Linked DNA regions of Schizosaccharomyces pombe. Changing the gene in region 2 together with the main gene of any one other region gives a genetic interaction. Each region holds a gene or a part of one and is shown on either strand. Other genes may lie near its edges.

Region 1 (6,169 bases), on a different chromosome or scaffold from region 2:
TACAAGCAGAATAAAAAAGTAAGCTTGCTGAAGCCTTGTATGTCTCAAGCCGACTTGCTTAAGAAAAAAAGAGCCACGGCAGAAATCTTATTCATCAGAGCGAACTTGCTCGGGAGGAGGGGTAGGGGGATGGGAGTACCTTTCCACATCAGAAAACAAAGTCAACGTATTGTCTTCAACTTTTTCAGCAGCAATTCGACATGCAGGCCTATCACTGACAACCCGCATCCAACGCTTAATATTTTTGTAAGGTTTCTGAGATAGGTAATCTCTTTGAGCAGCAAATATAGGAAAGCACATCTGCGGGTCCGCAGCGGTGAACTGTTCGCCTGCAAAGTATTCGTTCGATGCGAGGTGATTATCAATGTAGTCAAGGTTCAAAAATGTTTCTTTACTTAGATACTTGGATTTTATCCCATTCACAAACTGGCGAACAATATAACGAAAGAAAATGGGAGTCATGTTCACACTAAGATCCAAAACATGACTTGCCCAAATAAATGGCATAAGAGATGCTTCAGAAAAGTGCATCCATAATTCATATTTTTCCAATTCGGCAACATCCTCTTCTGAGGGTTTAAATGACGGTCCATACTTTCTGACCAGGTGCTCCAAAATGGCTGCACTTTCAATGTAAGTGACACCGTCATCGACAACGATAGGACTCTTGCCTAATGGTGACAACTTAGTATACGCTGGGGGAGCACGTCCGTCGACACGGTCATAAACTTTGATTTCATAAGGCACTTTGAGTTCTTCGAGCATCCATACAATTCGAGTAGAGCGAGAGTTCTTTAAGTGGTGTAAAACAATCATATCTGGTTACAAAAATAAAAACAAAATCAAATTGAATACTCAAAATAAATACTTTCTAAGATGCAATAATTTCGATCAAAGAAGGGAAGTATGTGGGAATTGGAATGTATATATGGGTGCTGCTGCGTCTACACCTCATATGCACGTCAGTCACCGAAATATATAGTGGCGTATGCAACAAATACGCAAAACACTTTATGTTTGCTTAAGAAAAAGATACAGTAGATATAGGAATGAAATAACATCTTCATTTGAATTGCTATCACTAGTCCGTCATGAGCCCGCTGTAAAGGTGCAGTACTAGATTTATATGAAAGACCAATTTTACTGTTGTAGTCAGTACATTTATACTAAAAGAGCAGCAGTTGGATTTACTTGGCATTCTGACTGACATATGAAAAGAAGTTCAGTGGTTGAATATCACAATACAGAAGCCATATTTTACATAAATTGGAGTTACGGTTTTTTCATAGTTAACAACGTATACTGCCTTGTAAAACGTGGTGTTAACAAAAAAGTTATAGTACTAAATTTGTATACCGAATATTCCAAAATAGTTCATAGACAAGCTATCTCAAACAGTTCAAACTGTTTCCAAAGACCAAGCAAGATATAATGATTAGTTTTTGATTCCAATAATATATGTTACTCGTTATAACACATAAAAGATATCTTGATTTTTCCTCAGCACTGCTGCAAAGGACGATTCTTATCTAAAACAGGACTTGAATTGACTTAAATCTAAAGCTGGGTTGTTTGCTGTTAATTTTGATGCTCAAAAATCCAAAATCTTTTTGTAAAAATGATATTGTTTTGCTTTAAAAACCATCAATTTTCACTCAAAAATCACTGATTAGCTAGCTAATGCCAACTCCCTTTCATGAGTACTCCATACTTATCGCACCAAGACTTTATAAGATCTAGCGAAACATTTAAATTTTTCCGCTTCAGCCAAAGTTGAAATTCTTCCACATCAATAGCAGAATACGTAAGAATTTTAATCCACACACTATTGTCTTTGGCTTGCTTAACAACTTGCGAAATTGCTCTATGAGTCTGTGTCACTATATCATCAAACTCCAATACTGTTTTAGTAGAAGTTATCAAATAATCATGGGGAGTTTCTTTGCCTAATTTTTTAGACTGAGATCGGCTATCGATTGCATCCAAACAAGATTCTACTATCTTAATGAGAGTTGCTTTCGAATCTGATGATTTGAAGCCATAACTTTCCGCTATAGCACGTAATTTTTCAACCGGAAAATTCTCCAACTTTTCTTTTAATGATTTAGCTTCATTATCAGCGTTTTTGTTAGTGTCCATGTAACCGGCATAGTTTAACAGGGTTCTGCTACGGTCATTAAATTCACATGAAGTAAACTCTTTAATATTGTCCGTTTTTTTTTTCTTATGTGTAGCACTATCGCCTTCAAGAAACGAGTTTGACTGACAAGTTGAGTCTATTGAATGACCGGCGCTTGGATGCCTTTGCTGAATTTCATCAACGGTGGAAACAGAAAAACAAACGTTTTCAGTAGAATTAGCCGATTCACAAAGTTCTTTTATAAGAGGACTCCTGTTGGCTTCAATTGATTTATTTCCTAACTTCTCTAAAGATTTTTCGAACAATTGAGGCTTCCTATGGTAATAAAAACCACTAGAAGATATTTCTTCCCTATTTGAGTGATATGCAGAGTGCTCGAAAGTATTTCTGCATGAAGCACTATTTTTAATTTTGCTGTATCTAGATAAAAGGACATCATTATCTTCAGCTACCCGAGTGTTAAGATCGGGTTCTAAGATATCTGATTCATTGTCGCTAAAGGAAGAAAAAAGAAGAGGGAGATTTTCAGTATCAAAATCTTCTTCATCCACAGCGTTTAAGTTGTGCTCATGAACCTTATGTCCCGTACAATTGTGATGCACAAGCTGTTGAGTAGACTCAAAATCACATTTAGAAGTTATCAGCCTAATTTCACAACATTCAGTAACAGATCTTTTTCGTTTACTATTACAATCTTTAGGGTTTTTGTTTAGCTCTGGCTCTATTGTTATCATGTCATCATCCTAAAGCTCAGTTAATATACATTTACTTCAGTTCAATGTAATATTTCTAATCATTTGCTATAGAATATCATATTTTTTTCATACGTCCGTGAATATATCAGGAGAAGATGATACCTCAATGTATTCTTCAGCCGACATCCATTTAATGAAACTTAGCTTGAAAGCAGCGTACTCAGAATCCTAAAACACCAAGAAAACGAAAGAATATCCCAAAAAATGATGAATATTTAATTTCGATTGTTTTGTTTTGTGTACTAGCCTGAATTTGTCGAAAGTTTTTCGTCCAGTTTCTTATTTTGGTTTAGACAAGTGGCAGCAAAACCAGAATATGCTTGATATTTTAACTCATCGTCTGATAAAAATAACTAAATGGTTTCACAAAAATGCGCAATACGAAAATGAAACAATATTTAGATAAAATCTTATTGATTGAAATGCAATGCTTCGTAAACAATACATAAATTAGAAAATTACAAAAGAGAGAAAAAAGTTAGGTAAAAAGTGTATGCAAAAGATTTATGATTTGAATCCCAATTTTTTTCCGAAAAGAGTTTTCATCTTTTTGGATTCTTTGATAGAGCTAGATGACGACTTGGCGTTTGATTGTTCACTTTTTGCTTTCTTCTTAAACAAATGTAAAATATCATTAGCAGCAGATTTAGACTTCTTTTTTGCTTCAGTAGCAATGTTGTGAGTTATAGTAACAGTTGACCTTGCAGGACTCAACGAAGGCTGCGTAATTCTTTTGGCAAGTTTGGTTGTAGTTGAAACTGGCTCAGAACGAGGAGGAGGAGGAGCTTCCTTTGGAGCCTCACCATCTTTTTCTAAGCAAAACTGAATCCAATTATCAAGGCCCGAATCGTATGCTGAATATTCTTGAATCTTTTGATTGAAAAAGTTGTAACGTTGATCGGTAGAACCTAATTCACCCAATCCATCGAACGACATCAATGGACTCTTGACAAACGCATCTAAGGTAGCAAAGTAATTTAAATTAGTTTCACTATTATCAGCCTTTTTGGAAATTCCAGAAGAAACAGCATCCGCTGAAGCACCGGAGTTAATGCTAGGAGAAGTGGTCGACTGCTGAGTTGAATTATTTTCAGCACTTTTAGAATGAGAAGATAAACCTGTCGTGCTTGTCTTTAGAGATAGTGTGTCTCGTTGATCCTCTTCCTGAACGACTATTTGCTTGTTGGGTTTTGGAGGTTCTGGCAAGGATCCACGGCTTAAGGCAGCAACTTCTAACTCATCTCTATTTAATGGTTCAGAGTGAGACTTATGTGTACTGGAATTACTGGATATTGAAACTGCATCGTGAGCAGCTACCACTTCGACCTTTGTAGTTGTCGTTTCTTCAATTGCGGGAGCCTTTGAGTTACTTGACTCAGTGTGAGAAGTAGTCGCTTCAACAATAGTTGGAAGACTAGTTTTATATGGATATACGTCTTGTTCTACAGAGGCTATTGTATGTTCATCGTCAGATGACCCCTTAGTCCAAAAAGGGTCTTCGGTATTCAACTTGGTAAGAGCTGGATCGGGCTCCTCCGAAAGATAACCATAGATACTTTCCAAGCTTTCTGAGTTTTTCAATAGTGCTCCTTCCTCTAGGGAGTTGTTAGAAACCAAAGAAGAGCGTGGAGATCCAACAACAGAAGCAGCTTGAGGTTCAATCCCTTGCTCGACAGAATTGGGTGATGTATCTCCTTTCACATCAACTTTTTCAAGGTTCGATTTTGAAATATGTTTCTCAGCATTGTCCTGAAGTAGATTGGAATTACTTTGAGTTTTTCCAACAAGGGTATATTTTGACGAATCGACAGGCAAATCGACAGCGCTGTCAGAAAAGCTATCAGGTATTGAATCGATAGAGCTGATAGCATCAAAATTTCGCAAAATACGACTATGAGTACCCGGTTGTTGGGAGAAAGAAGGATCGTTCGTAACTGTCTCAACCTCCGAATTGGTAGCATTATTTTGTTTAAGTGAACGAATTGTGGCTACCTCATCATCCACATCTGAATCTTGTAATCGTAGTTTAAGATTTTCTTCATCCAACTCACCTGAGGGCTGCTTACTAGGAGAATAAAGAAATGGTGAATTTACAGAAGTTATAGATGGATGATGCTCCGGTTTTGAGAGGTTTTCATCCTTCTCCTTTTCAGCATCGATTCCAAAATCGTTAGATAGTGAGTCCGAAAGTTCTTCCTCTGGGTTTTGCTGCGGAGACTCAACAAATGGAATAGACAAGCTATCAGTTGACTTAGTAGTTTGTAATTGCTTGACATGAGTGTCAATATCTGTTCGAGAAAGCTTTTCATCAGGACTAGGTATTTGTTCAAACTTCTCATTTGAATGATTCGAGTGTGAGCTTGTTATAGAATACGCATAACCCTTATTAATAATTTCGTCAGTTGGTTTCAAAATTGTATTAGTAGTCATGTTCGTATCTCCCTCCTCGACTTCTTGAACAACCTCAGATTGCTCAATTGCTTGTTCCGTAACAGGCTTTGAACTAGTTTCCAAAGTAGCTTTTTCACTCGTATTATCCAATTCATTGGCATCATCGTTAGCGGTAGAAACAATATCTTCTTTCACATTATTAGCAATTTCTACCGCCTCGGCAGAGTCCGGCAAAGTTTGCTCCATTAATTCGCTATCTAGTACTGCATGATCGTCATTAGGAGATTTCTTATCGTTCAACGAGGAAGATAGGTTACTAAGCGTGTCCCCAAAGAAGCTGGTATGCCTATGATTAGGTTCATATACGACGCTACGAGTTTTTGAACTTCTGGAAGAGGTAGCCCTGGAAAAATTGGAGCCACTACCAGTCTCTGCAACTGAAGCAAATGAGAATCGGTTCTTATTTGGAGCACGAGCAAATACGTTTGATTCATTGAGCTCTCTGACACTTGAAAAACTATCTCTACCCTTGATAGGAGGTAAAGACTCGGGTATTTCTTCAGCCTTTTTATACCTAGAGAAACTTAAAGGACGGATAGCAAGATCCTCTGCTGGACTTGAAACAGATCTCCTCTTTACATTTAACTCTCTTCGATTTTCCATTTGTCGAATATCCGAGACCCTATTATCATCTTGACTTTGAGGTTGAATGGCTGAAACTTGTGATGATTGAGATGAACGGGTGCTAGAAGATGCCATGGAAGATTTGTAATCAATCGGCTTAGAATTTGGATCTTTTCCTAATTTCTGTAAAAGAAATCTCCTCTTTTCGGCCCATAACCGTGCACTTTCATCAGCGGAGACAACCTTAGTAGCAAGCGTC
Region 2 (5,402 bases):
ACCGCACCGCACCGCGCTGTCTAGCCCAGTGAAACCGAGAGGAAAGAAGGAAAGAAAATAAAAGAAAAAGAAGAAAATAAAAAGAAAAAAACGAAAAAAATAAAAATAAAATGGCAAAAAGCAAAAAGCAAAATTAGTTGAATGGAAATCGCAAAATCGCCACGAAATTCAAACTACCACGAAATCTAAAAGTCTACTACGTAAACGACTAGGACAAGTGAGAAAGAGGCAAGTGTCAGTAAAAAAGCAAGCATAGATGAGCCAGGGTGAGCATTTGTAGAGAGAGTTAAAAATGGATTTTCAATATTGATTACATTACAACAATCAATCGATCATATCAACAATATCGACAACACAATTTAAAGCCAAGCCAGTAAATACTCGACAATCAAGCATACTAAAATTAACATTATTAAAAATCAACATTACTAAAATTAACAACAATCCATTCCAAACAATCAACGATATTTCCATATTCATTTCTTTTTCTTTTCTTTCATTCCATTTCTTTTTCATTTTCTTTTCACTTGGTTTCTTCAAAATCCTCTTTTCGTTTGTTTCTCTCTCCTCTTCCCCTGTCCACCTGACTTTGACTCTCGCCTCGCTTTCCTTAACGCTTCATTGGACCTCCTCCTTATCTTAACGAGCTTTTGTGTACTTTGGTGGAGTTTTAAGATTCTGCACTAAAGTAGCCCTCCACCAATCCCCGTCCACACAGATCCCAAACGAGGGGAACAATTGCCACACCCCTTCGGTGGTTGGGAGGCTTGCCGTGGGAACCTGACAGGACAAGTTCTTGTAGCCAATCACAGACTCATTGATAACGGCGGGGCATTTTGTGGACAAAAGCACGATCAGCGGATGGACGAGAACTTCAGGCTTAAGGAGACGTAAGGAAGCGGTCAAAAGGTGTACTATTTATAGAATTTCCCACTTTTTTTTTCTTTTACGCGGAAAATCTTTTTTAGGTGGAAATTGCAACTCGTTAAAACGGGGTAGAGATTGGATTGGATTGGATTGGGATAGGGATTGGATTTTGGTTTCGGTTTCGGTTTCGGTTTGGGGTTCGGTTTGGGGTTCGGTTGGTTTTCGGTTTCCATTTCGGTTTCGTTAAGGGATATGTCAAATCCAACTTGAACTTGTTTTGAAAACAACTCTCTTTTACTGTTTCTTTACAATTCCTTTCTCAATACAAATCCAATACGATACTGTCTTGCACTGTTTGGAATAGCATTAGCATTAGCTTTATTTTACCTATTTTATTTACTTTTCATTTCCTTTGTAATTGCTGTGTGTTTACTTTTTACGTTCTTTTCTATGTCGCATCTGCATTTGCATTTGCATTCGCTTTCGCACTCACACTCGCACTCGCACCACACTCGCATTTTACATTCTTCTCGTCAACCTCCCATTGTACTTGTTTAGCGGAAATATCACTCGGTACTTTTTAAGCATCTTCTTCTCTCTTTTCAAACAATTCGGTCGGTTGAAGCTTAACTAGTTTAACGTTTCGTAAACGAAAAACCCGCAGAGACATTGGTATTGCACACAAAAAGCACGCATCCAAACAAAACAAAACAAAAATTCCAATCCAACTCGTTGAATTGGAATTTTCAACCCCATAACCAATCGTTCAACCCAAATTCCAACTTGTTGGAATTTCTTCAAAAAAAATAAACTCAAAAATATTCGACATTGGGAATGGGTCCAAGAGGAGTAATGCCTAATGGATTGATTTGGGTGTGACTTTGGGTGTAATGACATTTGATGTGTTTAAAATCTGTAGTTTCATGAAACGCCGGATGCTTCCAGTATAGTCTTTTCAACCATTGATTGATATGAGGATAGTTGTGACGAATGGTACCAATGTTGCATTTAAAGTGTTGTACATATACCGGGTCAAAGCGTACAATCGTCGTATACAATCGCACATCCGTCTCTGTCAAATGATCTCCAAGAAGAAACGGTCCTTTGCTTTCCTTCAAAACCTGCTCCAGTCGATCGAGCCCTTGAAACACAACGCGCACGTTCTTCTCGTACGCCTCTGCCGTCGTGGCAAACCCCGTCTTGTAGACGCCGTTATTGACGGTATCGTAGAAATAGTCGTTCAACTCGTCAATCTTCGTCCTCAGCGACGATGGATACAAATCGACCACCCGCTTCTCCTCATCCTCAATTACCTCGTTAAAGGCATCATTAAACATACGGATGATTTCTGCACTCTCGTTGTTCACTATCGTGTTGTACTTGGAATCCCACAGCACCGGCACTGTAAACCGCATATTGTAATTGGGATCGGCGCGAAAGTATAGATTGCGAAGGTACGGACTGTTGTACAAGGGATCCCCTGTACTATCGTTCTCCTTATCAAAGTTCCACCCGTTCGGTCCCATAAGCCAGCCTACCACATGCACAGGGATCACATTTTCTAGACCCTTGAGTTTTCGTACAATCAGTGTTCGATGAGCCCAAGGACATGCATAACTCACGTAAAGATGATAACGGTCCTTTTCTGGCTGGAAATACTTGTGCTCAGGTGAGATTCTCTCTCGAAAGGAAGATACTTGTCTTCGAAATTCGCCATCCTTTGAGCTCCAATCGGTAATATGAGTGTTGGACATGGTTCTGATGAAAAAACGTTGCTGTACCACTCGATTCGTCAAACGTGAAAATTTTCTGCAAAGCAAATCCATGCCGAATTTATACAGAGGCAAATGGCAAGTACATGAGTAAGCATGGTGTCATGGGGTCCATGGTTGGGATTGTATCGTTCCCCATCCACATGGCCATTCATCCATTCATTATTAGTAAGACTGATTTCATTGTGGAAGATAAATTAGAAGAAAGAGTGGAAGTTTAACGAAGTAAAAGGTGCTGGGATGTTGAAGAATTGCGATGCATACCGTGTACGTTGTTAAATGAAAATGGCAAAGTACTTTAAGAAATACGTTGCAAGATTTTAGAATGGTAATGCCTCGCATCGCTTTAGCTCGTTACTTGCATTCACACTCGCCCTCTATGTTGGACGTTCAGTTGCCTTACAACCTTACAGCAACACAAATTACTTTACGTAGCGAGCAGTTTACGGATTGCTTTAGTTAGCAGTAAACCCCGATATAGCGTTTGGATGATCGACCATCGATCGTTACACACAGCGAAATAAACAAAAAAATCATTGTGACAAAATGATGGTGTCAGTAAAGAAATGCAATGCCTCATTGAGTGTTGTTCCTTTTTCCTTTTTCATGAATGCCGTTATTTGAAAAAACTTATTTGACCGACTTGCTTGGTTTGTTAAAAGTCGTTGAAAACTAGTGGAATTCAGTTACAGGTTGATTTTTAGATTTCTCTATTTTGTTTTGTCTTGATCTAGCAATTAAAGTATATTTGTGCATAAATCTAATTGAACTTACAAGTTATCCTTTCCTTGAAAATGAACAGCAATTACGTTCCCTTGACAAGTTCGGTAGATGTGGAAGAGAAAATGGAATCGGAAAATGGAGTTGATTTAGGAAATGATATTGACTTGGAAAAAGGTTTACCTCTAAAATACAATTCGGAGAATGAGAGCGGTTTGCCTTCAAATTCAGGTACGGTTTATTGTTTATCATAAAAAAATGCAATAGTAAAGAAAGTTTTACTTCTTGTCTAACTGTTAGTGAACGTTATGTGCAATCAACTCTAGAATAGCACGCACGTTCGTCTTCCTTTCCCAATGAACTAATTTTTTCATTTGTATTAACTATTCGTAGCTTCTTCATATTTAATCAATCCTGATCCTACGATGGACCTTGAAGCGCAAACGTTCAATCACAATGAATCCACGACCTCTGTAGGCCATGACAATAGCAACTCTCCTCCTAAATGTCGGAAAACTTGTTCATCTAATAAGGTGTATAGTAATGAGGTGCCTCTGTTATTTGTTTTTGTGATATCTATTTCCATAGTCTGTATATTTGATCTTGTTATCTTTGGTTGTCTACAGTATAACATGGTTTCTATGGACGATTTACACGTAATGCAACGTTTATCGTGGTTCTGTGCTAGCCTTGCTCTTTTGTTTATTTTAATGCGTAAGTGAGACATGGAATTGTACTATACTCAATAACTAATTCATTAGGCTACTATGATTTTTGGACCAAGGCATGCAAAGATGGAATCAAGCACATTTTTAAGAAGTGGAAAAACACGCCTCTTGCTTTCCTTCAAGTGCTTATATTCAACATCATTGGCTTTTTCGTGCGAAAAGGTCTAAAAGACAGTTTTGGCGAGCAATGGGGGTTGAAAACATCTCTCTTTGCCCATGTTTCCTTTGCTACTATGAGCATCTTTATCTTCATTTTTGAAACATGTTCGTTATATACCTGTTATTATATTCTAACCATGTAGTAAAACCAGGATCATGCAGTGTCGATTGGATCGCAAGGATATTGAAAGCGGTGGTATGTTGCATGGGAGACATTTTATGATGAGTTGTTTTACTAACAAAACTTTATAGGTGTATTTTCTTGAAGATTCAGATGAATTGTAGCATTCTCGTTATGAATAAGATCACTAAACAAGTTGCGACCTTTGATTTTATTGCATACTTTGTCTGTCATACGAATGGCATTGACTAGCAAATTGCTTGAAAGTATTAACGATTAGTTTAAACTACTCATTATATTTTTGCATACGAGAGCTTTATGATGATCACCACGTAGAATAACCGTTTTCAGAAACAGTTAGCTCAACTTATGAAATTATAAGATTCATTACTTCACAACCTCGATCAAAAGTTGTTTCATTAATACTTTTGCTATGTACGGTTTTCCCTCCATTTTGGTTTTTCTGATGAACCAAACATGTCGCTTATTGTATATGCTTTAATTCAAACAAATTTAATGTTTACAAAATAATGAATAGCATAATAAAACATTGTGACTGTCAGCAATACTACACTACGCTATAATACACTACGTTGCGTATCACTATATGTCACATGTTCTAATTATATATAGTACCATGCATGATACGATATTGAGATTGATCTTAATGATAATCTATTAAGATCTATATTATCTGAATACTATAAATAGAGCTACTGCTGAACCTCGTTCCTCAGTTCAGTTATGAGCTATATTAGTGATAGGTAACATTATAACCTAATTAATACAATACCTATACTCAGTTGCTACTCATATAACCTGTGTAATGTAATATGATAGATCACAAGGAAAACTCACCGCAGTACTACGTATCCTTAAATCAGATACCAAATTGCGTAGCTGACATTATATTATACTACAACGTTTTGCTTCTCAAAAACGTTTAAGGAAAGCTAAGTTGGGGTGAATAAAAAGGGCAGTGACAAAATAAATGTGTCAGAAGTAATTCACTGCCTCGTTCTTCTTTTTTTATGC
Region 3 (4,791 bases), on a different chromosome or scaffold from region 2:
CTGAGCAAAAAAAATAGGAGTCAAAGGCTTTACCAAAAGCTTGATGCGAGTGTTAACTCATTGAAGCGCACATCGTCCATCTTTTTTACTTGATGATCTACACATGATCATCTCTAACAATGAGGGAAGTTTTGCATTCAGATTATATGAGTTGTTTATACAAGTCGCATATGAACATTCTGAAACGAGGGTACGGAAATGATGGAATATACTTTAATAGTTTAAAGAGAGTTAAAATGAGTGCATCATCATATCTGGTATGCATTTTCGATTACAGGGAGAGGGTGGTACTGTAAAATTACCATTTTACAGCACGAAAACTCCTTTTGTTTATCAGTAGATTAAAAGGATACTCTCATTAGTAAGTTTAGTGGATTAAATAGTATTAACAGCATGTGCTTAAAAAATGTTGAAACATGTCGATGGCACTGTGATCGCATAATAATTCATTATGCTCATTGAAGTTAATATAAAACCAAAGGAAATCTAAGAGATTATAAGTCTCTTAGCTTTACTTAAAAGAGATTCTAAAATTCAAACTCTAAAGTGCGTCTGCAAACAGCTGTTTGCTGTAGCTGCTGGATTTATGAACCATGGTGAGGTGCGATTTGTAAACTAGAGAATGATAGCGAAACGCTCGTTAAAACGCCAATATCGCACTTTCTATGGACAGTATTATAAATTTGTAGTACAGCATCAAGCATAATATAATTCCCAGTAACTAACATAATGATCCCATTACTGTTAAATGTAATGTGTTATGGGTCAAAGCAAACAAGGCAAATTTGATAATGAACGAGATGATTTTTCGGTTCGGTTTCCAATTCGTTATTATAAACAGTCGTAACGGAGCGTCAAACCTTCATTTAGTAAAAAAAAAAAAAAAAAATTGACTAAGCAATACGAAATATCTATAGTAGATACATGCGTATTACTATTTTATATTATTGTTGAGCAAAGTGATAATGCAATAACGATGTTAACCGTAGTTCGGTAAAGACACATTCATACGATATTATATTCAATTTGTTTTGATTTACGATTTAGAGTTTTTAAACATAAGCAAACGAAGATCGGAATTAAACCAAAATAAATCTCGTGCCAAAAACAATAACTTCATAAGTAGAAGCTGTAGACACGTGAATAGAATATTTAAAGATGTTGTAATTGTTTTCCTGGGAGATTTCAAGAAGTGCTAACCGAAGCATGAGTAAACTAGGAGCTTTTCGATCACAGCAAGCAAGGCATGTCAGTTACTAGTCGTTGAAATTTTAGTAGGGTAAGCTTTAGCTTGATAGCGGTTGCTTGGAAAAAACAGTGTAACATTCAAAATCGGTTTCTTTTGAACCTGACAACATTACCGTAATAATTCAATCGCTCAATACGCCATTCGTGAAGGGTAGTAGCCTTTCTCTTACGAAGTTACTAAAAACTCAATTTTTTTTGTACCCTTAAGCGCTTACGAGTTCTTTTCTTCAACTTATTGCTACTCGAATAATAAATGTTAAACATATCTCGACTTGCTTTTCAGTTCGTTGATCCTCGCTATTTACAGTTTGTAACAAGTTAACTCGTCTATGAAGTCATCGATAGAAGGGCTTTAAAGTGTGCTATTTGCGAAACAACAGCAAATTTGTAGACTAGCACTTTACAAAAGTCTACTATCGTATTGCCGGTTCAAACTAAAATTTATGACCTCAGTTTCTACTAAATATAGTACGAATCATGATTAAATTGAGGTTAACAAAAGATGCGAAAGTAGGGTGTTGCTTCCTAATTTTTGGATTGTTAAACAACCTTCTCTACGTGATAATTTTATCCGCTGCCTTAGATTTGGTTGGCGCAAACGTTTCTAAGGGTGTGGTACTACTTTCTAATATTGTTCCTTCTTTGGCGTGCAAGTTGTCAGCATCAATTCTTCATGTTCATAAATTTAAGTTTGCAAAGAGAATCGGTTTTTGTGTTTTCATGTCCATATTAGGAATGCAATGGATTGCTTGGTCTTCCTCCGTCCCTTCGAAAATGCTTGGTGTATCTCTGGCAGCCATTTCATCGAGTTTTGGCGAAATCTCTTTCTTGCATCTATCAAGTCGTTATCACTCTGTGTCTTTACCGTGCTGGAGTTCCGGAACAGGCTTGGCCGGTCTCTTTGGTGCATCTTCCTATTTGGTTATGACTACATGGTTTAACTTCTCGGTACGCAGCACACTTATTATCTCTAGCTTTCTGCCGCTTTTCCTTTTGATCATGTACTTTTTTGTGTTGCCAGAGTCTGAATCTACATCACCTTCAATTAACAACAATTATACGCCAATTGAATCTATTGATCTTCGAGCAGGGCACGTTTCATTCAATTTCGTTAATTCTTTGAAGCAAACATTCATATTCATGCAACCATACCTTCTTAGTCATATGTTTCCGCAGTTCCTTGTATACTTCTCAGAATATACTATCAATATTGGTGTAGCTCCCACTCTTTTATTCCCGCCCGAAAAAGCTGGCTTTTCTTCGTTTAGGGATTTTTATCCTACTTACCAAACTGTTTACCAGATTGGTGTTTTCCTATCGCGATCCTCCATTTCATTTTTTACTGTCCCATATTTGCGCACATTGGCAATAACACAGTTCATTATCCTTCTATTTACTATACTACAGTCGGCCCTATATCTTACTTCCAGCTATCATTTTGTACTATTCCTCATATTCGTTGAGGGTCTTATTGGTGGTACCGTTTATGTGAACGTGTATCATAGTTTGCAGACTACGGAGAGTAGTCAGCGTGAACTAGCTATTAGTACTGTTGGCTCTTCAGATAGCTCTGGAATTTTTTTAGCTTCATTGGTATCACTATTCCTTGAACCCTCCTTGTGCCATTTCCAAGCTGATCGTGGCCGAGATTGGTGTGCCTTAACTTGAAATAGTGAGTGCGCACATCTCCATTATATTGAGAGTTAACCTATGACGTTTCTTCCATTAGTGTGCTAAGTGCTTCAATATCAAGTTTGCTTTACGACCATTTTCTTTCAACTATTGTTTACTTTTTTAGTTCTTAATAGGTTTGCTTTGAAAGAAGAAGTTTTTCATTCCTAATTCCTGATACCAGAAGTTCTTAAACTTTTGGTGCACAATTACTTTCTGCTGTGCATTCTATGCGAATCATATCAAAACATACATTACTTAATTTTTTCCTTTTCATATCTTCCTTCTTTTAGATAATATGGCAGAACAGAAAATCATATCCTTATTTGACGATGATGCTTGTACTCGTTATACAATTTTAATTGCTAGTACAATTGGTGAAATGCGAGAGAAGAAAGAGTCAATAATCGATAACACGGATCCTGAAATAGTAAAATATCTTTCTCAATTATTGGACGTCTTTAGAGAAAACTTCGACACTTGGGCAATGGCAGTTGTAAATCGCACAGGTTGCGCACTGGATCCCTCTACTCCAAAGGATCAAGTAGAAGTAAAAAAATTTCGGCAGTTTTCCGAAACAGAGAAAAGCGAGTGCTTTATTAAATGTCTACTGTTATTGATTCTTTCATTGGGTAATTATTCTCCTTATTCCCGTAATTTATTATATAGTATTGCAGAGAAGTTGGGCTTGTCCTCTATCGTGGTTTATAAGGCTGAGCTTATCACCTCTTCTATGCTTTTAGATACTTTTCAAACTATGGAAAGCAATCAAGAAATGTATGAACTTTCGGGCACCCGAAAAATGAGAAGACGGATTGCAATGGGTCTCGCTGGACTGGCAGGTGGAGCTCTTATTGGGTTAACAGGTGGACTAGCTGCACCTTTTGTTGCAGCTGGGTTAGGGACGTTATTTGCTGGTCTAGGTTTGGGAACTATGATTGGAGCAACCTATCTTGGCACTTTGATTACTTCGGCACCAATGATCACTGCTCTGTTTGGAGGCTTTGGAGCCAAAATGAGTATGCAACAGATGGGGGATGTATCTAAGGGACTCACTGATTTTGAATTCATACCTCTCAGTGTGCAATCGCATTTACCGGTTACCATTGGAATCTCAGGATGGCTTGGGGATTATAACGAAGTAGACGCTGCTTGGAAATCTTTAACTGTTGGAGATAAAAGTTATTATTGGGGAGACATATATGCTTTGAAATTTGAAGTTGAAGCTTTAGTTGATCTTGGAAAATCTCTTTCCAGAATCTTATTTTCTGCTGGACTTGGCTGGGTAAAGGGAGAGGTTATTAGTAGAACGATATTAGCTCCTCTTGCTGCTGCTTTATGGCCTTTATCACTTTTGAAAGTCGGAAATATTTTAGGCAATTCCTGGAGAATTGCATTTAATTTATCCATCAAAGCCGGTGAAGCTTTAGCCAATGCGCTTTGTGTTAGAGCTCAGGGTATGCGTCCAGTGACTTTAATTGGGTTTTCGCTTGGTGCACGTACAATTCTTGAGTGTTTACTACATTTGGCTGACCGTGGTGAGACGAATCTAGTTGAAAATGTGATAGTAATGGGCGCCCCTATGCCGACTGACGCTAAGTTATGGCTTAAAATGAGATGCGTTGTCGCTGGGAGATTCGTAAATGTCTATTCTGCTTCTGATTATGTACTACAATTAGTGTATCGTGTCAACAGTGCGCAATCTACGGCTGCTGGTCTTGGACCAGTTTCTCTTGATTCAAATACTTTAGAAAATGTCGATGTGGGGGATCTTGTTGAAGGTCATTTGCAGTATAGATGGTTGGTTGCCAAAATTTTGAAAGAACGTCTTGGGTATGATAACATTTCTGATGCTGAGATTCAATCGCTTGC
Region 4 (6,016 bases), on a different chromosome or scaffold from region 2:
GAGATTCCTTTTCAAAACGTATTTTAAGTTTCAAAAGTAATGTTGGAATTGGGTTTTTGGCATATTAAGAAAAATACTTAAGACATATGACTTATATCTCATTTTCAATATAGGGGACTCAACGAACAACCTAAGCGCGTTCATATGCATTGCGACTGCAACATGAGGAACAAGAGGAATCCGAGTCCGAATCACTATCTGAATCGGATGAACTTTCATCAAACTTTCTCTGTTTGTGAAAGATACAGCACACTAGTAATATTTAGCATCACATCATGTTAAATCCTTTAATTTTCTATGTTCGTGTATCAAGCCTCTAGTGCTTTGATAAATCAAAGATAAAGAATGTAGATATGTATAAATAGACTCATACTGTCCAATTTTTAAAATCAATATAAGTCTGAAAGTTGTGCTTGTTGCCAAAGGATGGAACAAGGCCTATTCTCTTCTTCGTAAAATCACCAGAACTTCACTTACCTTTCGATTTCTTTTTATTCATATGCTCATTATCTACAGTGCTTACCGTCCATCTAACTCTTCTGACTGGTTCCGGTTGTAAATGGAGCACATTCTCAGATTCTTCATGGCTTATTGACGCGGATTCCTCCGTACTTTCAATGGTAACTGTAGCTGATGAGGAGATATCACCTAACGGTCTTGTGAGTTCCATGGGAATTGTCAAGATTACGTTGAGTGATAAAACACGAAGTTCACTGTTTTATAAGTGAACCTTCAGTTTCGTTAACCAACTCTTCCTCTCAAGCAATTGCTTCAAGAAAAACAATTTTAGTGTAATTATTATAAAATTCCTCTGTTGTTTGAAAGACGATGGCGAAGAGTGGTGTGCACTTCAAGATGCTTGCTATTCTCTAATAGGATATTCTTCTATTCCTTTTTCTTCACTATATAAGATTGTGAGAAATCGTTACTGCGTTATATCTCCCTTAGGTTACATCTCCCTTGATGACGAAACCAAATATTGTTTTCCTAAAAACCTTCAGCTGCCTATTTCAACTTATTTGGTAAAGAGAATTAATAGACACCTACCATTTTATATTAAATTAGAGTCCTAAATTATGATAACATTCTGTAATGGTTGAATCTCAATGGGTATAATATTTCATTGCTATTGCTGTCGTTAATAAATACACTACCTACTAAACATGAAGTACAAAGAAATAATAAGTTCACATTTTAGGGAGTAGCGAACAAAATATCATTATTGCTAACCCTAAGAATCAAGTTAAAATCAAAAATCCGTCAACCAGAATACATTAGCAAACATGTTCCGTATACAAAACTTCGTTTGGTTTAAGGATTTTCAGCACTTGCTGTCATCCAAACAAAAAATTTCCGAGCCACATTAAAATTGGAACCTTTTTAAAGCATTCAAAATGTTTTCGCCAACTGCTTATTTTGACTAACAGTAATTCTCATATACAATCTCGTTTACATAGGATTGCTTAAACGACCAACCAACTGTGGGTACTTTTCAGTCAAGGCAATTTGCGTACGAGTAGCCTCAGCATATGAAAACGCATTCACCATTTCACTTTCAGTACGAGCCAGTTGTGCAGATTTCTCGAAATATTCAAGGGCTTCACGAGCTTTACCTTGTTGCAATAGGAATTGAGCCATACTGGCAATTGCAATATCACATTCGGGATCAGCCGATAGAGCCTGTCGACAAAGATTTTCAGCTTGAGATATATCTTTCTTCCATTGGAATACAGCAAGAGCCTTATTAATCAAAGGCATTGCACTCATAATTGTTAGATGTTCTCTCTTCTCAAGCTCAATTGCATGATCAAAGTTCTTGACAGCATCATCGAACTTTTGTTGATCTAAGAGTATTTCACCAAAGTAATTATAAACTTCGCTTGAATTAGGGAACCTCTTTTTACAATCTTCAAATGTCTTCATTGATTCCGCAATTGCATGAGTCTTATATTGAGCTACTCCAAGTTGGATATGGCTATAAATAAAAGAGTCATCCAATGCAATAGACTTTTGATAATCAGAAATGGCTTCTGCAAACTCACCAGAAACAAACCTAACTTGTGCACGATGATAATAAAGATCCGAATCGGTTTTATCAACAGATTCTGCATCATTCAGTACCTTCCACATTTTTTCATTATCATTTTCATCTAAATAAGCGGCTGAGAGACGAATATATGGTTGAATGAACTTGCGATCTAATTTAATAGCTGCATTAAAATTTTCCATCGAACCTTTAGAGTCACCAGATACAAATTTAAAAGTACCAACTAGATTATGAGTGCGAGCATTAACCGAAGGAGATGAGAAAGATCCCAGACAGGATTCCTTTGCTTTATCGTACGAAAGTTGATATTCACCCTTTTCTAAATATTCATAAGCCTCTGCTAAAGCAGCATCACCGTCAAATTTATTATCAAACAAAGGTTTTGGTTGAGCATGGAATGAATCGAGATAAGTCTGGATAAAGCTGGCAGCTGGCAATTTAGGAGGACGTTCCTTTAAAAGAGCAGACGACTTCTTTTCAGCAACCTTTTTTAACAATCGTTCAACGGTAGCAGTCATACTCTCATTAGCGAAGCCATCGAAAATGCAGGAAACGGTACTATCCATAAGGGCTTCATCCAATTTACCAAGTTGCTCATAAGCAGCAGAACGACGATTTAACGCTTTCACATAGCTTGAATCAAGTGAAAGAGCTTCACTTGTATCCTTAATTACTTGCTCAAAATCACCGATGGCTGCATAACAGGCTGCACGATTAGAGAAGAAAATAGGGTCATGAGAGCAGGTGATAGCCTGAGTATAATAGTCAATAGCATTAGCATATTCCTTTTGTCCATAAGCCTTATTACCAAGAGTCTTTAACTCGGCAGCCAATTTTGCCCTTTCCTCCTTCGTCATAGATTTTACCGATTCCTCAGTAGCAATTTTATCGACAGAAGAATCGCCGACCTTCTTGGCTTTAACCTTTTTTTTATTCTTCTTCTTCTTTTTTGCAGCAGCAGCAGCAGCGGCTGCTGTTTCAACATCCTTTCCAGTTTCTGAGCTTTTAAGATCCTCTTCTTTTACGACCTTTGCAGCTTCATTTTTTCCTTCATTAACTTTGGATTCAGCCTTATCTTGATGAGCCTTAAGTTTTTTAGAACGTTTATGACTAGCTTTTTTCTGTTGTACATGATAAACACCCCCAACTGTAGCAAAAACGGCAACAGCACCAATAGTGTAAACAAATGTCCTATGGCGCCTTACAAATGCTGAAACGGAATTTAAAACTCCAGAAGACACAATTGCCTTACCATTTTCTGCATTGGATATACCAGACATGGTATTGGTTTTGGCTAGGTTGGTACCGATTCATGACCACTATACTTCAGCAAAGTGAATGCTACCTTATTGCATTGCTAACGAACTGCAAAGCACATTCATTGACAAAGGTTAAGGAACTAAAACTTGATTACGAAGTGATAGAAAACAAAAAAAGAAACGGTGAACAGCAGTTTAATAGGAGCTATTATTATGAAATGGTGATAATTTGCACAGGTGCTAGTTTTATTAATTCTACTCAATTCCGCATCAAGTAGGAATTTAAAAAAAACTGCTCCAGCAGTGACTTGAACACTGGGCCTCTTGCTTACTAGGCAAGCGCTCTACCACTGAGCTACAAGAGCTGATGTTATCCCCGTATAAAATACAATATATAGAGAGCGTAGTAAAGAAGTTTACCTTAAACAATGAAACGTATTGACTGTATTTGTTAATTACACAATGCACTTCTTTTGGATTCTGATTATCTAGAGCCCTTTTATTTGTCTTTAAAAAGATTTGTTAACTTGATTGTAGGTTGAACTATGTTTTGAATACAATTGAAGAGTTGCGACCAAAATCTATTACAGTTGTTGCCTGTATCTTATAAGCTATCTATTATTTAAAGCATGGTTTCTTAAGTTGTAAATGACATTTGGAAATGACTATTCATGTTTTGAAGTTTAGCATCAACGTATGGTGTTTAGGTTGTCTAAAAATTTAGTTAAGAGGAAATTTGGCATCGCTGTCCCCTAAGGATGAATAAGCTATGCAAATCCATGTAAAGTAATGATGATATTCAGCTTTCATGTATTCCTCATTTCAATAGATCCAAACTTATTTGAAGCTGTTTTTTTATTTGTCTTTCTCGCCAGCTTCAATATTGAAGGTTCGATTTTTTTTGTACTTCTTCTTTCCTTACGTCCTCATGATATTCGTATATCAAAACGTTCCAGTCTTAGATTTAATGTTGGACGAATGCCTACGTAAAAATATAAAACGTTTATCGTTCGATAGTAACTAATTTGATTTTACCCGAAGATTAAGAACAAGAAATATATGATTCATTCAAACTTTTATATTTCCAAAATTTTTTTAACAGGATACCACAAACTCATGATGTATTATTTCATTTAAATCTCAAAAACCCACAAAATCTATTTCCAGGTTTTATTGAATGCATGATTTATTAAATATATATACCTCTTTAACATTCATTGAAAAAGTGTATATCCTATTAAGGAAGATCAGAAAGTATGTGTTTTTTTAAATACAACAGCAAAGTTCCGATTGACAAATTATATGTTAGCTTCTGTGACGCCGAAATTTACGTTTTTTTAATTTGTAAGAGGAATAATTCTGGCTTACTTGTTTTCCAATAACAAGCCCGTTTCTCATAATCTTTTTATTTTGTCGTTCACTCTGCAGATCTAAAAATGGTGACGAATCTTTGCTAGCAGTTGTATCTTCATTGTCGTCAATGCCATTTTCCGCATCTTCGTCTATTTCAGGAAGACCTTCTAAATGACTTTTGGAAAGATTCATTGAAGGGGGCACTAAAACGTTAGTTCAGGTACAAACAGGAGAAAACCTTACATTTAACAAGACGATTTTGTCGTTTAATTTTTTTCTTCATAGGTTGTGATATGTCTCTATCTACAAGGCTTTCTGAAGATGAGCTACTAAAGCTTTCAAACTCCTGCAATATCTTCTCTTCATTTGATCCGTAATCATCTTCAATATCTTTTAACTCACGAAGCATTTCACTGAGACTTTTTCGGCATGGCGCATTAACTCGAAGTAAGTTAGGAGATGTATAAACTTGAAGGCGATATGAAGAGGGGGTTTCAAGAACGGTGGGAGTATGTTGAGCCACAGGTTCGGGATTTTTTGATGGAGTAGTCGGTATCATAGTTGATGAAATTTCACTAGTGTTATGTTTTATATCCGAAATTTGATCCACATGAGAATCTGCAATGGGAGACATGTCTTCAAGAAGGTTAAGTACTCGACGTGACAACTGTGGAGTAGGACCTAAAAGACTTTTATCCACAGTTTTCGGAGTAACCTGTAGATAATCATTTCGGGGCGCTTTAGGACTCTCGTTCGCTTCAGTTTCAGCACGCTGTTTTGTAGGAGTTTGAAACTTAAAGTCGACCTTTGTTTTTGCTTTTTTAGGGGTAATGGAGGATTCGCGTTTCAACTCGTAGTATTGCTTATATAAAAGCGCTAAAAAAGTTCGTTAGTTTGCTTCAAAAATTCAAGTGTATCTTTGGCTTACATACCTATTTCTGGTTGTTTCTTCACATCCTCCTTAGAAGGTTTGCAATTGTTCGTATGGACGTACTCATGTTCCCACTTCTTTAAGAGCGCTTTTATACTAGATATTTGTTTAGTTCGTGATTCATCGTGCATGATTTGCCAATTAATGCACTGCCTGGACCCAATTTCAATTTTGTAGTGTTCGATTCAAACAACTGCAAAAACAAACTCAAAACAAAAAGAGAGGCTAATCTACATAAACATATATTTCTTCTAATTCTATATGTGGAGAAATACCATTGCACAGAGTTTGATACGTATCTCGAAATGCAAAGTTGAAATGTTAATTATGCTTTAAAAGTAAAGTAGATGCACTAATGAATGCTCCATTTTACTGCTGAATGTTTACGCATACGTTAAGCAGTTTTTTAAATTTAAATAACGTATA

What was found.
Region 1: mutations in gst4 (region 2) and slx4 together harm fitness less than expected from each alone (positive genetic interaction), as found in Schizosaccharomyces pombe (one large-scale study listed by BioGRID).
Region 3: mutations in gst4 (region 2) and btn1 together harm fitness less than expected from each alone (positive genetic interaction), as found in Schizosaccharomyces pombe (one large-scale study listed by BioGRID).
Region 4: mutations in gst4 (region 2) and tom70 together harm fitness more than expected from each alone (negative genetic interaction), as found in Schizosaccharomyces pombe (one large-scale study listed by BioGRID).

Annotation. Positions count from the first base shown.
Region 1 is NC_003424.3:3,115,980-3,122,148, forward strand, and holds slx4 (structure-specific endonuclease subunit Slx4), read right to left. Parts: upstream 3,195-6,169; 5' UTR 3,022-3,194; coding exon 2,968-3,021; exon of another isoform or gene 2,884-2,967; coding exon 1,678-2,883; 3' UTR 901-1,677; downstream 1-900. Other genes in the region: glutathione S-transferase Gst3, read right to left, coding at 88-816; protein Rng10, read right to left, coding at 3,400-6,169. UniProt on the Schizosaccharomyces pombe protein: Regulatory subunit of the slx1-slx4 structure-specific endonuclease that resolves DNA secondary structures generated during DNA repair and recombination.
Region 2 is NC_003421.2:1,395,946-1,401,347, forward strand, and holds gst4 (putative glutathione S-transferase), read right to left. Parts: upstream 2,804-5,402; 5' UTR 2,694-2,803; coding exon 1,680-2,693; 3' UTR 1,243-1,679; downstream 1-1,242. Other genes in the region: wtf element Wtf11, read left to right, coding at 3,434-3,590, 3,753-4,073, 4,121-4,351, 4,390-4,442, 4,499-4,531.
Region 3 is NC_003424.3:2,048,587-2,053,377, reverse strand, and holds btn1 (battenin CLN3 family protein), read left to right. Parts: upstream 1-1,629; 5' UTR 1,630-1,725; coding exon 1,726-2,916; downstream 2,917-4,791. Other genes in the region: protein Mil1, read left to right, coding at 3,218-4,791. UniProt on the Schizosaccharomyces pombe protein: Involved in vacuolar transport and vacuole pH homeostasis. Also required for cytokinesis.
Region 4 is NC_003424.3:2,430,703-2,436,718, reverse strand, and holds tom70 (TOM complex subunit Tom70), read right to left. Parts: upstream 3,340-6,016; 5' UTR 3,328-3,339; coding exon 1,450-3,327; 3' UTR 1,096-1,449; downstream 1-1,095. Other genes in the region: SPOM_SPAC6B12.13 (protein phosphatase inhibitor), read right to left, coding at 131-252, 478-670; drc1 (DNA replication preinitiation complex assembly protein), read right to left, coding at 4,612-4,862, 4,903-5,535, 5,592-5,721.